2 linked regions of the Arabidopsis thaliana genome follow. The protein of the gene in region 2 interacts with the protein of the main gene of each other region in a biochemical or structural test. Each region holds a gene or a part of one and is shown on either strand. Other genes may lie near its edges.

What was found.
Region 1: the proteins of ALY2 (region 2) and SNL1 form a complex in vitro, tested with the Arabidopsis thaliana proteins (one study listed by BioGRID).

Annotation. Positions count from the first base shown.
Region 1 is NC_003074.8:104,656-112,301, reverse strand, and holds the start of SNL1 (SIN3-like 1), read right to left. Parts: upstream 6,009-7,646; 5' UTR 6,007-6,008; coding exon of another isoform or gene 5,866-6,006; 5' UTR 5,573-5,865; coding exon 5,496-5,572; intron 5,343-5,495; coding exon 5,151-5,342; intron 5,064-5,150; coding exon 4,880-5,063; intron 4,790-4,879; coding exon 4,691-4,789; intron 4,622-4,690; coding exon 4,454-4,621; intron 4,365-4,453; coding exon 4,088-4,364; intron 3,899-4,087; coding exon 3,762-3,898; intron 3,683-3,761; coding exon 3,604-3,682; intron 3,522-3,603; coding exon 3,486-3,521; intron 3,389-3,485; coding exon 3,195-3,388; intron 3,121-3,194; coding exon 2,966-3,120; intron 2,893-2,965; coding exon 2,765-2,892; intron 2,644-2,764; coding exon 2,389-2,643; intron 2,244-2,388; coding exon 1,551-2,243; intron 1,471-1,550; coding exon 1,382-1,470; intron 1,153-1,381; coding exon 574-1,152; intron 509-573; coding exon 408-508; intron 317-407; coding exon 178-316; intron 85-177; and 1 more. Other genes in the region: AT3G01319 (uncharacterized protein), read left to right, coding at 5,866-6,006. UniProt on the Arabidopsis thaliana protein: Acts as a transcriptional repressor. A histone deacetylase (HDAC) activity is required for transcription repression. May play a role in telomere stability.
Region 2 is NC_003074.8:1,537,821-1,545,549, reverse strand, and holds the start of ALY2 (ALWAYS EARLY 2), read right to left. Parts: upstream 6,024-7,729; 5' UTR 5,975-6,023; intron 5,969-5,974; exon of another isoform or gene 5,787-5,968; intron 5,579-5,786; 5' UTR 5,513-5,578; intron 5,001-5,512; 5' UTR 4,989-5,000; coding exon 4,890-4,988; exon of another isoform or gene 4,804-4,889; coding exon 4,705-4,803; intron 4,626-4,704; coding exon 4,560-4,625; intron 4,430-4,559; coding exon 4,352-4,429; intron 4,085-4,351; coding exon 3,910-4,084; intron 3,690-3,909; coding exon 3,430-3,689; intron 3,325-3,429; coding exon 2,976-3,324; intron 2,758-2,975; coding exon 2,689-2,757; intron 2,519-2,688; coding exon 2,253-2,518; intron 2,171-2,252; coding exon 2,114-2,170; intron 1,899-2,113; coding exon 1,572-1,898; intron 1,496-1,571; coding exon 1,317-1,495; intron 1,240-1,316; coding exon 963-1,239; intron 874-962; coding exon 685-873; intron 576-684; coding exon 423-575; exon of another isoform or gene 267-422; coding exon 189-266; intron 112-188; and 1 more. Other genes in the region: RLP31 (receptor like protein 31), read left to right, coding at 6,834-7,729.

The DNA.
Region 1 (7,646 bases), 1.4 Mb from region 2:
AACCCTTCCTGGTTTCCGGGATTTCTCATACTCATACAACTGAAGCAGCTTGTTGTCCATTTCATCGGCTACAATAGCTTGAAGCTGCAGATGGATAATATTAGAACATCACAAGGAAGGTAACATAATGTCGATAACATAAAAAAAATTGTCCTAAACCACTAGTGTGAGTAACACCTGCTTAACCAATCTGTAAATCAGTTTGTCCAACGTGAATAACACATATGATTGGTTTCCAATTATAGCTCTGCACTCATCCTCAAACTTGGTATTTTCAGCTGATCCATCTAGCAAACCATACAAAACCCTCATAAACCTGTACAACACACAGATCAGATTTTGATGGGAACAACATGTATATGATTATCTACATAGGCTAGTATAAAAAGTTGTACAAAGGAAGGTACCTCGCATAAGGATCTCCGGCATTGGTATCCTTTAAGTTTTTCGATTTCAGTTCACCGCCTGAGCAATTCCTTTTTGCATACAAAATTCTCTCGTACAGGATCTGAAAATGCACCACGTTATCTTTGCTAGAGAGAATCAATTTCAATAAATAATTAGGTAACTCACTTGGTGAAGCCTAAAAAGAACATAAAAGTCGTCATTCCCATAGAAAACTTGGAGATCTTTTGTTCTCTCATCGCATAAAACTGCTGCGACATGCTTTGAAAGGGGTCTGACGGATAAGAGAACACGTTCTGACTGTGGAAGCAGCTCACTTTCTCCTTCTAAGAGATGTGGATCCATTCCCTCCGCTTCTCCTTCACTCTCAGCTTTACCATCGATCTCATCATGCTCACCATTCTCCTCCTCTCTATCTTCGTCCTGAGAACATACGTCGCCACCAGATTCAGTTCCAGATGCCTCGGAAGCATTTTCACTATCAACATCGTCAGCATCGTCCTCATTCTCTACTTCAGCATCTGCCTCTACTTCAGCCTCTGCTGAATTCTCTGGTTTGGATGTGGACTTCACCCCATGATCTTTGTAAACACCAAAGTTGTCTTCAAAATCACCATTAGGTGACAGTTCACCTTCCTCTTTCTCATTTCTGGAGGGACCTTCGGGATCATCAGAATTCCTAGTACCTTTAGAAGAATCTGACCTTAATCCATTTGCCAAAACTATCGAATTGCCAACATCACCTCCCTAGTAATATGACAGAGTCAGAAGGGTCCGGAAAGCATAATTATAATATAAGACACATTTTAAATTTTTACACCCCTGGGTCCCATAGGTAGTACTGTAAATTTTTACATCCCTAAGCTATGGAAACCTCCAGGTAATAGTGGGTTTAGGCGAATATATAAATATGGTACAACGAGCAACTGAATGGTGTAAATATGGTACAACGAGCAATTGATTGTAGTACTAGTACCTGAGTCGAATGAACAGTTTCAATGCTATCTACATCATGATGAATATCAGTGAGGGTGTCGCTTGGTTTGGCTTGAATCTCATGTGCACCTTAATTGTAAAGTAACAAATATCAACACAAATAATCAAGCAGCACAAATAAAATTAAATAGCTTAAATCTGGAAGGCACCTGGCAAAACTTCCTTGCCTACTACACAATGATTGTTTTCTGCCCCACTTGGGATTGATATACTCGAGATGGCTGCTCTTTCGCTAATATCCATTGGGATAGGTTTTCCAAACCTTTTCTCGGCTTCATTTCCAGTTTCTTGTTCTTTCTGAGGTTTCACAGCAGAGCAGGCAACACCATCTCTGTTAGCTATTTCAACATCTTCAAGATTTTCTTTCCCTGTCGAATCTTTATTTAACAAACCTATCCCATGTTTGAATGTCCCAGATGAAGAATTCTCATCTCCATTGGCAGCAGATTTAAGTTTCCTAGAAGCCAACCTTGCTGTGTCTCCTCCAGAACTCACAGCAGCCTCCCCGTTAGGAGATGTGCTGTGATTCACATCGAGAGTCTTGGGGTTTATTACAACATCTTCAACAAGATCTGTGCCCTTGGCCCTGGGAGGAACACCCAGCACTGCCTCCAGGAAATTTTCCCAAAGCCTCAGAACTTTACTGAGCTGTTCTTTTGTAGAACATAACTCCTCACATGAAAACTGGACTACTTTGAACATGTCTTCATGAATAGCTCTGTTCAAATACTCATATTCAAGATTAGGATTTATAGGTTGTCTGTAACCAGCAGAAATAGACAACAGAACATCATCATCATTCTGAGACTTCTCTTTCAGCTCCTTAATTTCAGCCAACAATGCTGGTTCACGAAGCAATAAAAAAACAGAATGAGAAAGGAATAAGTGAAAGGAAAAATAGCACTGCCGGATGTATGTGAGCGATAAAACAGGATAAAGGAACTACTTGAATATAAATCTTCTTACGACTTCTATAAGTCTACTTACATTTTGCACTCAAGTTCTTTGAATCTTGTTGCTTGAAGTAGAAGCTGCGGTGATCAAGTGACTTGTAATGGTTTTTTGCATATACGTTCGCCCAGACCTTATCAAAATCGTCACGGCATTTCTTCCATTCACCTTGTTTCTGCTTTAAACGAGTTAGGATTACAGGAAGTGCAGTGGCTGGATTCTTATTTAATATGTCTATCACGTCAAGACCATGGTCGCCATAAAGTCGCTCAATACACCTTAAATTTAGGGCTGTAAATATGTCAATAAGAAAATGGTAAAGTTAATAACCAAACATATGAGGACACCTAAATAGGGGAAGAGAGAAGATATAACTACGAACTGTAAAATGGTCCCAAAAAAGCATACAGACCCGTAAAATGGTCTTCGATCCTGAAGGAGCCAGAAAAACTTATTTTCTTCTCTGTGATGATGTTCAACAAACTTTCTGCACTTCTGGCCGCAGAGCTCACAGATTCCAGCAACATGTCCAACTCAAATCTGTTATAAGCAGTAATTAACATAAATGACCAATTACTTCAAACTATAATATGTATGTTGTCAATATAAATACCTATCATCTTCGCATCTGAACAAGCTCTCTTCATATTGGTTTCTGCGCATGTGCTTAAAAGAATAATCTTCACTTCCGGAAGTGACAGATACCCAATGATCATTTAAAACCTCAGCTCCTAGCTCCGATCTCTGACTCGCAATTGGTATCGGATACTGCAAATATAATATTACAGTAAGTAAAAATCCAATGAACATGCTCAAAATGCAACTTGGAAATAGAAGCTTACATCCGCAGGCAGAAGCCGGTAGCTAGGAGTGCAACACTCGCAATCAGAGAGATCGAGCTCTTGAATAGATTTTCCCATGTACTCCTTCTTGCATTGCTCAGTTTCCTTCACAGCCTCGAGTTCAGGCTTGTGTTCACTTTCTTTCTCTTCCACCTTCATTGGCCTGGATAACTGTTCTTCGCTGCTAAATAATTCTGCCAAGTGTACCAGCAATGTCAGTAAAGATTTTACAAAGTAGGAGGGAAAGAGACAATATTATTCACAGCTGGGAAGTTTAAAATAGCAGCATACTTTTGCTCATAACACCAGCAAGACGCTGAAATCCATCTACAAAAAGAGGATGACCGTCAGAAAGAAGAAGATTGCTGATATGTAATAACTATTAAAATAACAATACGTATTTCAGTACCAGTAATACTCTCACACCGCTCGAAGAACTGGTTGAACTCATCCATCAGATCAGGAAATTTCCCAAGAAGATCAGAAACCTGAAAGAAAATGAATGGGATTTAATACAACTTCCTGAACGTTACCACAAGATCAACCCCTGATCACAAATTGCAATACCAAGTTTTGCAGATCCTTCCTTTGGATTATTCCATTGCTAAAAATATTGAGGCACTTCAAGAATGTCTGATAATCATCTTGGCTGCATAGTCTATCCTTGACTTTCTCACAGAAAACGAATGCTTGTTTGTACATACCTAACACAAAGTAAACATCTTAGAAAACAGAAGCAGATCTTCGCACCTTAAAGATCACCATGCAACCAAAATTGGAAAATAAATTCTCTCTCAAAGAGAAAGAATTAAGGTGTCCAATGTTTGGGACTCTTAAAAAATAGAAAAGGTACCAAGCAAATAAAAAAATGTTTGACACAGGAGTTAGCTTACTTTTCAAATTGTCTTTCTCAGAATGTGAAGCAGAACCAGAATATGCTTCAAGAGCTTCAGCTCTTCTGGACGACTTTCTTTTCTCTGGAAAATGGTGTAGGTTATCTTGACCTGCTTCTCTATCGTCCAAATCACGGCCTCTCCTTGCCCTGTTCTCCTTATCAAGGCGCTTCCGCTGCTCTCTTTGAATCTTCACCATCGTTTTATCATCATTAAGGTCATAACGTTCAACACTATAATCACCGCGGAGAGCAACAGCCCTTTCTCGTCGGCGTTCCTGGTGATAAAAAGTTGTAGCGGGAACAAAATTGAGATACGTGGCAAAAAATAGAACAAGGAAAAATATGAAACAAAGATCAAACGAACCTTTTCCACTTGCATTTGATGAAGTAGAGGAGGGTCTGATCCTCGGTCGCTGTACTGTTGAGCCTGACTCCGGCTATGCTGCGCTGCTGAATGAGATGGCAAAGACGCTGGCAAAAACCTAGTAAACTGTTCAAGCAAATCCAAGTGGCCTTGAAAAAGAATAGATACCTGGAGCATAGATATTCGAAGGTTAGAAAAAGTTTGGAGTGGCATTACAGGTGAGATGAAGTATATTACCTCGTTGTACACCTCTTTAATTTCCTTGTTCTCCTTTCGGTACATATTCAAGATTTCCAAGAAAGATTTATAGACATGTTCATCGTGCTTGAATCGCATCTGCAGTGAGAAAAAAGAAACTTGTACATTGAGACACAAGATGTAAGCGCACTTCAAAAGAGAAATATAAGACCAAGATTTCGACAGCACCTTAATTTTATTCACAAAATTGATGGCTTGTTCGAATTCAACAGTCTTCTTTGGCAGAGCGTCGTCTTCCTCAATAAGCGTAATTTCATATCCCTTAGGCAAAAAGGTGTTGAATCCATAAATCAAATTATTATGTCCCTTAAACAATTCCTTAACTCTTGCGATCACACCGCCTGTGTCGGTTCTGAAAATGCAAGACGAAGAATTAATACAATGCCGCCTACTAAAACTTACTTGAACTTTGAAGTCGATAGAGAGTGAAAGAGCTAACCTTTGAGCCTTAAAATCTTTCATAACCTCGAGGAACCTGTCATATTTCTCGCGTTGATCTTGAAACATCTCTTTTACTTCCCTCAGGTACGACAACGCATCATTGGTTGTCAATTTCTGAGAGACTCTCCGGCTCCCTCCTTCTTCTTCTTCTTCGGTGTCACCACTGCCGTGGACCGGAGATTGTCCACATCTGCACCAAATCATCTCTAATCGATTACTTAAAACTACTCAATTCATAACAAATATTTGTCACTCTCCATGCAGAATTATAGAAAACCTAATCGCCACAAAACAGAACCAAGATCAAAACCGAAATTTGAAGGGTGAATTTAGAGAAACTCACAATTGGCCTCGAGAAGAACCAAGAGGACGTCTAAATTGAGACCCAGAGGCATATACATCATCTCTTATCCGCTTCATCACAAGTTAATTAACGAAGCAGAGGATCAAAATTCCCTCCAGAGGAAAAATATGTATGAGACCTACTTTCTATCACTCTCGAGAAAACATATGTAGTAGATGAAATCAGATACTCAGATCTCTCAAAGGAGAACAGAATCGTTAAGAAGCGCTTTGATCACCGGCAATCATACATAGACAGAGGAAAATTCCGGCGAGACTCCAAATTCTCCGGTTTAACACACTAGACTGAATATGAATTGCGATGATACTGATAGGAGACGAGAAGTAGTAGAACGCAGAGTCGAAAACGAATGAAGAAGACGGAGAATTTCAGAGGAGTTTGCAACAAAGACGCTGAGAATTTTCGAATAAGGAAGGAGAAAAAGGCGGAGAGAGATTTTGCATTCTGGGGTCTCTTCGATGTTTCACTTTCTCTGTGTGTTTGCTGCTAACTACTGGTAAATTGGTAACTTATCTTTTATTCTACTTCAATTTGGGCCGGACACTCAAATATCTATTGGGCTTTTTAAAATAATAGGCCCATTTATCAAGAACTCTGTTTGGTCGGAAAAAATTGTGATGAATTTTTCATATAACAAGAAAATATATGTACAGATTTGCGTCAAGCATTGAACAAAATTAAGCACGAGCCGAAGAACCGATACATTGTCGGAAAAGTGATGATAAACCACAAGCGAGTTTGTTTCGTGTAGAAGATGAGATGTCTGGTCCTCTACGTATTTCAGAAAAGTATGGAGGTGGTGATGAAGAAGATGACGAAGAACTTGATTTCTGTGATGGATTTTTATCTTCAAGATCATTACTATTTCTTCCGGTTTGTTCTAGATGATTTTGAAGAATTGCTCCATTTTTTTGATCTAAGATGAATTGATCACTCCAAATACGACCCGAAGAACCTTGACGTCGGAACGAAACAGCTGATCTTTGTAGCGATGTCATTACTTAAGTTTTGAATCTTGTTACGATTATATCTTCTTTAATACCAAACTTATTTTATTCTATCAATTTTGTTGTGTGTTTGTTTCTTTTGCGTATGTATGAAGCTATTGTTTCAAGTGTTTGAACTTGTTTAAAGATAAAATGAACAGAATTAGTTGAGTTTGAAATTAGATTTTATCCAGTTTTGGATTTACTACAAAACATGCTAAATTAAGCTTAAAAGTTTATATCTACTCCCCAAAAAAAGGATATAAATTTTGATCTTGTCTTCCATTAAAATAGGATCCAATGACTTCAAGCCTTAAATAGATGTAGATTTTCTTACAAATTATTTTGTTCCAAGTACATATTTTTTTTTAAAATTAATATTTTGTTTTTTCTTGAATCAAACCAAAAATGAGAAGTTGTAAATTTTCAGTCAAGCCCATCCATATAAGCTAATTGAGTATTGGTTTGGGGTTTTTATGGGTCAAAAGAGGTTTATTATAATGGGCCTTATGAAGCTCATATACGACCCATAAGCGTTAGGGTTTTCCTCGAGAAACCTAAGAATCGCCGCCATTGGGGACCTTTATATACAAACCACACATGACTTTGACAGACATCAAGCTCTTATCAAGTCAGTTTAGGGTTCTCTGTTCAAGTTCGTATTTTATCTTCAGTTTAGTTTTCTTTAGATCTTTGGTTTTCGAGTTATGATGTATTGGTCCGTATAGATAATGCAAAATTGAGATCAGGTGATGAGGTAATACTGCAACAATATGATGGAGTAATCTTTGTGATTATTAGTATTTAAGTCTCTGATGATCTTAATCGTTTTCAACTAGATCTTTTTCGATTTGATTTTCTTCTGTTTTGATTGTTTTGTTTGAAACGAGAGATATGATGATCAACAAATTGGTCCGTGTTTCAGATTAACCGTGACCGAAAAAATTCTTAACCAAACTCTGATCTCTCTTCTTTTCTTTCGATTTTTTAGTATTTTCCTTCAAATTTCGTTTTGGATAATTTCTTCTTCTGCGGTGATGATTTTATGAGAAATTCACATGTCAGACTTCAGAGATTCTTGTAATCTATGAGAATAAATTCATATATCTGAGCAGAAGATTCGAATTATAAAAGACTCACACAT
Region 2 (7,729 bases):
CTCGTGATGTTTGACCATAGAGCTGCGTAATAGCTGATTTTTGCCAACCAACTCTAAGGCTTCTTGGATCATTGTGTTCACATCTTCCCCTTCCTTCACAGATGATGCAGCCTAGAAACCGTAGAGTGACCATAACTTAGCAAAACATATGTATGTTCGAGAATCTAGAAAAGTGGATGAATCGATACCTTTATAGCTGCATCCACCATTGCTTGCGCTCTTGTTTTTGAACCCTTGACAATTTCTAGCATCTCTGGCTCCATTTCCTTGTCACACAGCACAAGAATAAGTGTATTCAAGATTAATCAGAAGGAATGAATTACGTGGGCACTCAAAGGTCCATTTATTATGATCCTATTCGATTTCCAAAACATTTGAACAAATGTACCGATATGAAAAATAGAATATCAGTAATCCATTACCTTTTCATCTAAAGCATGCTGTAGCGCTTGTGCCCGTTGAATCTCAGCTTCTTTTGCTTTGTTATAAGTTGTGATATATGAATGATTAGTCTGCCGTGGACTACTAGTGTTGCTTGATACTTTACCATGCAGAATGGGAGCAATCATATCACCCTGTAGAGAATTTATGAATTAGGCATAAAATTTACATGAACATGCACAGGAGGATCTAGGAAGGTTTACAGGCTTTGACAGAAGTAGTCAAACTTCCATCTTTCCCTACCTGATTCAGAGGAGGATTCATGGAAAAGCTGACATTTTCAAGTCCGCAAGGAGGGAATAGCACAGACACACCAAGGTTTGTATTCCCGCTTAGCTGTGCTTCTTTCTTCATAGACAAGCACTTATCAATTTGCCTCCTTAGACCCTCTGGCATGTATTCCAGTGGATTTAAAGGCATGCAATCAATGTCCTGTCACAAAAGGAGATGATCAAACAACTGAGACCTTATTTTACCAATAAATCATTGTGTATATGGAACTGGTATTGTATTTGAACTACCATAACCAACTCAACGCCCAAGTCATCGAAGAGAACATTGCATTTGTTATGATCAACAGTGAGAATTTTTCCATCATGAATCTCCCGTGTTTTGGGATGGATGGCAATGACTCTGTTCCCAACTGCTAATGGCCGAGCCAAATCTGTAGGAAGCCCCTCCCTAGCACCCGTTCGAAGCTCTGTATAATGCTTTCGCACAGATTCGCGGTACTGTTTAAGTTTCTCCCGCTCTTCATGTAAAAATCTCTCAGAGAATCTTCGTGGTCTACCAAGAGAACTGCAAAAAAACGAAAGAAACCTTTTATAATCTACCTATATTCTCTGGAAGTATCCAATAACATAACTTGAACAAACCTTTTAATGACGCTCCATTCAAGACGAGTAAGTCTTGGAATGTGACCAAGCCCCACGTGATTTAGGTAATCGACAAACTCCATCTTTGAAAACCAGGGATGGTCGATAGCACTATAAAACCATTCAAATATGCACCTTCGACGTGCAAAGGGAAACGACAGAGAAGTAGCAAGCTTATCCTGAAATTGGAATAAACAAATATATAGATGTACAAGATACTGATGTGCGTAGGAGAAGTGAAGTTAGAGGCTCCACCTTTAACAACAACTCTTGTTCTGAAAGAGATCTGGAACTACGTGCAGCTTTATGAGTGGTTTCAGAAGATTTAGCCTTTTCTTGTAAGCTTTTCTGCAGACTCTTCTTTCGCCTGTTTGGAGGTTTCTGCGATAAACTGGTTGGACCCGAGTCAGAAACTTGTTTAGGTGACGCTACTATATCCATCCCAGGTCTTTTCTTATCACTTGTTATAGCAGATTCCTCCAACGCCTTAACAGTTTTCATCTGTTTTGACTGAGCCGGAACTTGACCAGCGCGTTTTGTTTTAACCAAAGACTTCATATTATTCTCATCTTGAGGCAATTCCTGCAACATAAAAAACCAAATCATATGAGGTAATGTTTTCTTCAGAATCACAAATTTGAATACTCAATATGCATTTTTAATAAAGATCTCGAACTTGTTTCAAAGGATAGAAAACAGAGATCACGGAGTTCAACTAAGGTCAAAAAATTTATGTACAAGGAAGCAATATAGGACTTGCAACGGGTTTCAACTAATTCAACATACACACAGACTACCTTCTTGTTTATGGATTTGTTCTGACTAAACTCTGCTGGAGCTTCATCCCCTAGTACCTGAAAATAGAGCACAATTAACATTTACAGCTAAAAGATGCCTAGAAGAAAGAGCACAGATTAAGAGAACTATCTTGCTAACCTTTGGTTTACGTTTTCTTAAACTGCCACTAGTTTGTGGTTGTAGCTTCCCTGTGGGAACATCATCACAATCAGTGGATACCAGCCTTGAAGGTTTTGACTTTCTCTTGTTAGCATTCTCAACAGAAGAAATTGCATGAAGGAGACTATCATCTGGCTCTACATTTGCTTTTTCCCCATGACTGCTTGTGGAAGTAGCTTCTGGTGTGCTAGATTTCTCGTCCATGTCGTATTCTGTTCTTTCTTCCTTCAACTGAGCAGATAATTCTGGACCCAATGCAATTTAGTTAAATTTAACAAATACAGACAGGTAAAGGCCCTAATGCGAACAGTGAACACTGCAGAATTAACCCAATCTATATAATGAGAATATCTAGAAAAAAAAAACATAAGTTTCAGGTATATTGAAGTTACAAGCAAAACCACACAAAACTCACCTGACTCCATCAAATTTGCTGGAAGCATTGAAGCTGACAATTCGGCCAATGCTTGCAGGGCATCAAAAGCTACACAGGAAAAGACTGGCAATAAGTTTCAGATCCGCATAAGTTTTCAGCAGAATATGAAGATAGTTAGTTTGAATGGACAATGCAGAAAAGATAAATAATCAAATATAACAACAGTAGAGCTTGCAAACGAAAATATGTTAAATATCTCTAACTTTCCTTACAGAAAGGGGTAACATTGAAATTAAAATCAGGCTTCAAATTACATTAGTTTTTACCTCCGGAAGTATGTTTGTCATCTCTTTTCTTTGGGCTGCGCGGTGAGTATTTCTCTCTTGAGGCTTCAATAGCAGCCTTTCGTCTTTGTGATTTACTTCTGAGCCCTTGTGTGGCACTGCATGCTTCTCCATTGTCATCAGAATCATTACATTCTGCTTCTTCGACTTTCACTCTTTTCTTGTAGACTCTTTTCCCCTTCCGCGGAGCCTCCATTTCGCCAGCCCTTTCCATATCCATCAACAAGGTAGTATCTTTATCAGAGTCAAGTTTCCTTTCTCGGCTACTTTCCATCCACTCCTCGAAAATGGAGCTGCCACAGTGCTTAGACTGAGATTTTCTGGTTCGCGACTAGTCAGAAGCACAAAGTTAAATAGTGTTTTTCAGTGAAGCAAACTCACACAGAAAAGAAATCAAAAAGATAACCGCTTAAAATTTTGTCAAGCTGAGAGATACCATTTTCCCCCAGCTCTTTATCGGTGAGCTATCGCTAAGTTCTGTTCTTCTATTTGGTGATTCAGAAACTTTTGGAGACCCTCCCCTTCTCGATGCATCTGTTAATGCTAACGCTAAAAAATGTGCTACATCATCATTGGCATCGAATTGCTTCCTGGCTCTTTTATTTGGTGGAGTAGAGCCTTCTCTATCATCCCTCATAAATGAAGTTTGTACAGGAACCCGTGGTGTACGTTTTCCAGTGGCATGTCGCTGAGTTCCTACATGAACTAAGAAATAAAGTTACACGATCTTGAACGAATTGGTTTACAGGTACTAGACAGATGGATATCTATTCCTGGACTATACAAAGTCAATAACAAATGCAGAACAAGTAATCAACTTCCTAACCTGCTTAAATCATAGAGTAATCATTTGATTTAGCTTCTTCAGACGAAAATAAAAATTAGAAAACTGAGTTAACACAATGTAGCACTTTACCATTAGCTCGTGCTTGCTTCAAAAACGTGAGGCATCCATCTGGTGAACCAATTGACTGTTGTATATCCACTTCCTCTGGAGAATCGCTACGTTGAGGTTTAGCACGTTTGCGCTTTTGTTGTTTCCTTGGTACTTCTGAAGCATCATGGCCTTCTCCTTCACTGCCACTCCCTTCCTAGAAGAAATATCATATGAATGAGTTACAAATCGGTCCACATAACTTTATCAAACATACAAACTGGCCCAACAGATAGGCCAGATAGGGTACACAAAACTCAAAGTTTTCAATGTCATTGGTGTTACTGTCTACTCACGTTAACAATGAAAGGTTTTTCACCAACCACCCACATTTTCAACCAAGAAATTTCATTTTCTCATCTACTGGCAGGTCACTTCACATAATATCCTTTGTGTGGCAGCCTTAATAAAATAGATTTCTCACCATGACACTGTAATGATCTGTCATCATCGCAATAAGGCCAGCTACAGAGGCAGTTCCCTCGGGGAGAGATAAATACGCCTGGAAGAAGAAGCATATCTTGTGAATGCAAAGTTATGTAGGTTTTACAACATTTAAACTAAAGCTTGGAAAAGAAACTTGCCACATCGATACTAACTAAAACTGAAACATAGCATGTCCTTACTCATACCCGATTCATATTAAATAGAGCTTCCACCATGTCAACAGACCTGCTATTCCGAATTGCAGCAGCCACCTATACAAAAAACAGTCTTTAAGAACTCTGATTGCCACTGAAACTCACATAAACATATGTGAGTGAAACAGTTATTTACCCTTCTCCACTCTTGTCCGTGCTTGCGGTAAGCATCATAGAAACGCTCAAGTTCTAATCTGGTCCACTGAGGTCCCAGCTTGTCAGACAATTTCTTCTTCTATGATAGGAAAAATAAAGCACAGAATAAATACATCAGAGTAACATCTCATTCAACATTCAAGAAATGAAGACCAATTTACTCACACGTAGCTTATTTTTTTTCGATTTCCCAGCATCTTTTCTTGGGGAAGTTTCATTGGTGAAACGCTTGTTCACACTCCTCGACTTCCTAACTGGTGCCATTTGCACGTTTCTCTGCACAAGTATATTCAAATATATAGTTAGAAACCAAAAAATGCAATTGTGACAAAAGACACACTTTAAACTGATACGGACAAGATACGACACTAAGTCGATAAGCAAATTTGGCTTCCTCTAAGACATGTACAAACTACGAATTTCAACATTTCACCAGGGGAAAAATCAAGACGTTTTTAGGGTTTAGGGTTTAGGGATTAGAGCTAAGAAAAATCAAAACTCTACGTTTTTTAACAAAAGAGTAGAACCAATTCTTGGATCAGTAAAAAGCAGTGTTGGGGAAGATAAATAGCTGCAGTAATCGAGATGAGAGGAAATATTAACGAAAATCAGAATTTGGGTATTTTAAAAAACACACCAAATTAAGGAATCAATTACACACAGTGAAGAAACACGAAAATCATCCACAAAAGTCAGGAGCTTTGACAAAATTTGAGAAAATGTGTTGAGAAAATTGTTTAAATTTCAGATAGTAAAACAAAATCGAATTCGAAACTTCAATCGCTAACCTATAAATATAAATAAAACGCAGATTCTACAAATCTGAAACTGATTCCTCAAAAAAAAAAAAAAAACTTCAATCGAGTGAGCTTCCAAAAATACCCACTAAACCTCAGCTGAGAAAAAACGGAACTCGAGTCAAAAGAAAAAGAGCTAACACAGAAAGTGTTAAAGAATCCAAAAAAAAAATCCGGGAAAATTTTGAGAGTCGAAAGAAGAAAAAATTTGAAACGGAAAAAGGAAAAGCCTTTTAAAAACCCTAATCGAAGCAGATCCACTAACCAATTAGGTGACTTGAAGAGTGAATAGAGAGATACCCGAACCACCGGTGGGTTCGAAAGAGAGATAGAGAAAGCTCGAGCCTTTAGTTTCAAAAAGAGATCGATGAGAAAATATTTGAAACAAGGGTTTTAGAGAGAGAGAAGGCAAATTAAGGAAGAAGAAAGAAAGATTATTATTTGTTTAAAAACAAAAAAAAAAAGGAAGTGAGAGAAAGAGAGAGAGATATAGAAGAATTAGGGAATGAGAAAAATGAGAAGAGAGGTGTTGCCGCGAAACTTGAATACATGGACGACTTCAGCCAATCAGCTTTCCAGATTTGTCACTTTTTTCCATTTTTTCGATTTATTTCTTCCTTTTATTTTGTTTCACTCTTAATATCTGAAGCTAGTGCATGTGTGATCTTGAACGTCCACGTGGATTGTGAGGTTGTTTACATCGTTGGATTGTTTTAGTTTCACTTGTGTGGATTCTGGTATCGGTAGCAGAGGATTATATTTGAAATTACTGGAGTTTTATAAACCGAAAAATATAAATAAAATAATAATGGGGGAAATCAGTTTCTTGAAGATCTTACTAATTGAGTAATTATCCAAGGATAATCATTTTTGGTTAGAGCTTCCCAAAGAAAAAAATATTTGGTTAGATTTGCTAAAACATTTGGTTTTAACAACTTTAGATAGGGTTAATCATTTTTGTTTTTTCTTATAAAAAAAAAATAGATAAACTATTTAAAAACGACAGCGGATTAAATAGACTTGGTTACATCTGATTCTATCTGGCCCAAATAAAAAGCCCAAATACAAACTCATGACCTATAGAAACCCAAAGTAACTTGACATTAATAACGAAGAAGAGAGTTTTCAATTTTGTGATGGATATTATGGCAAGAGGCCAAATCATTAGTCAAAGAGAGCATTGGAAAGACTTGCGCAAGTCAAATTAAGCAACTGAGTTTCGTTTTTTTGCTTTTTGAACAGAGCCAAAGAAGCCATATCAGGATAACCTATAAACTACCACACAAACTCCTAACAAAAAAAAAAAGAAGTAATGATGATTCCAAGCCAATCTTGCTTCTGTTTTTTCTTCATGGTTTCATTCTTTCTACACACTCTTGCTTCTCCTACGCTTCGCCATTGCCGCCATGACCAAAGGAATGCTCTTCTGGAGTTCAAACACGAGTTTCCGCGGGTAAATGAATCCAACCAAATTCCTTATGATGTATCGTTAAGTTCATGGAACAAGAGCATTGATTGTTGTTCTTGGGAGGGTGTCACGTGCGATGCTATATCTAGCGAGGTGATTTCACTTAACCTTAGTCATGTTCCTCTTAATAACTCATTGAAACCAAATAGTGGTCTTTTCAAACTTCAACATCTTCATAACTTAACCCTTAGTAATTGTAGTCTCTATGGAGATATTCCTTCTTCATTAGGAAACCTTTTTCGTCTCACACTTCTTGACCTTTCGTATAATTATTTAGTTGGTCAAGTTCCACCTTCTATAGGAAACCTTTCTCGACTCACAATTCTTGACCTTTGGGATAATAAGTTAGTAGGTCAACTTCCAGCTTCAATAGGAAACCTAACCCAACTAGAATACTTGATCTTTTCACACAACAAATTCAGTGGCAATATTCCTGTTACATTCTCCAATTTAACAAAACTGCTCGTTGTCAACCTCTATAATAATTCCTTCGAATCCATGCTCCCACTTGACATGAGTGGATTCCAAAACTTGGACTATTTTAATGTTGGTGAAAACTCATTTTCCGGGACTTTGCCTAAATCTTTGTTCACAATTCCTTCATTACGTTGGGCTAATTTAGAGGGAAACATGTTCAAGGGACCTATAGAGTTTAGGAATATGTATTCACCATCTACTAGGCTTCAATATCTATTTCTTTCTCAAAACAAATTTGATGGCCCAATCCCTGATACTCTATC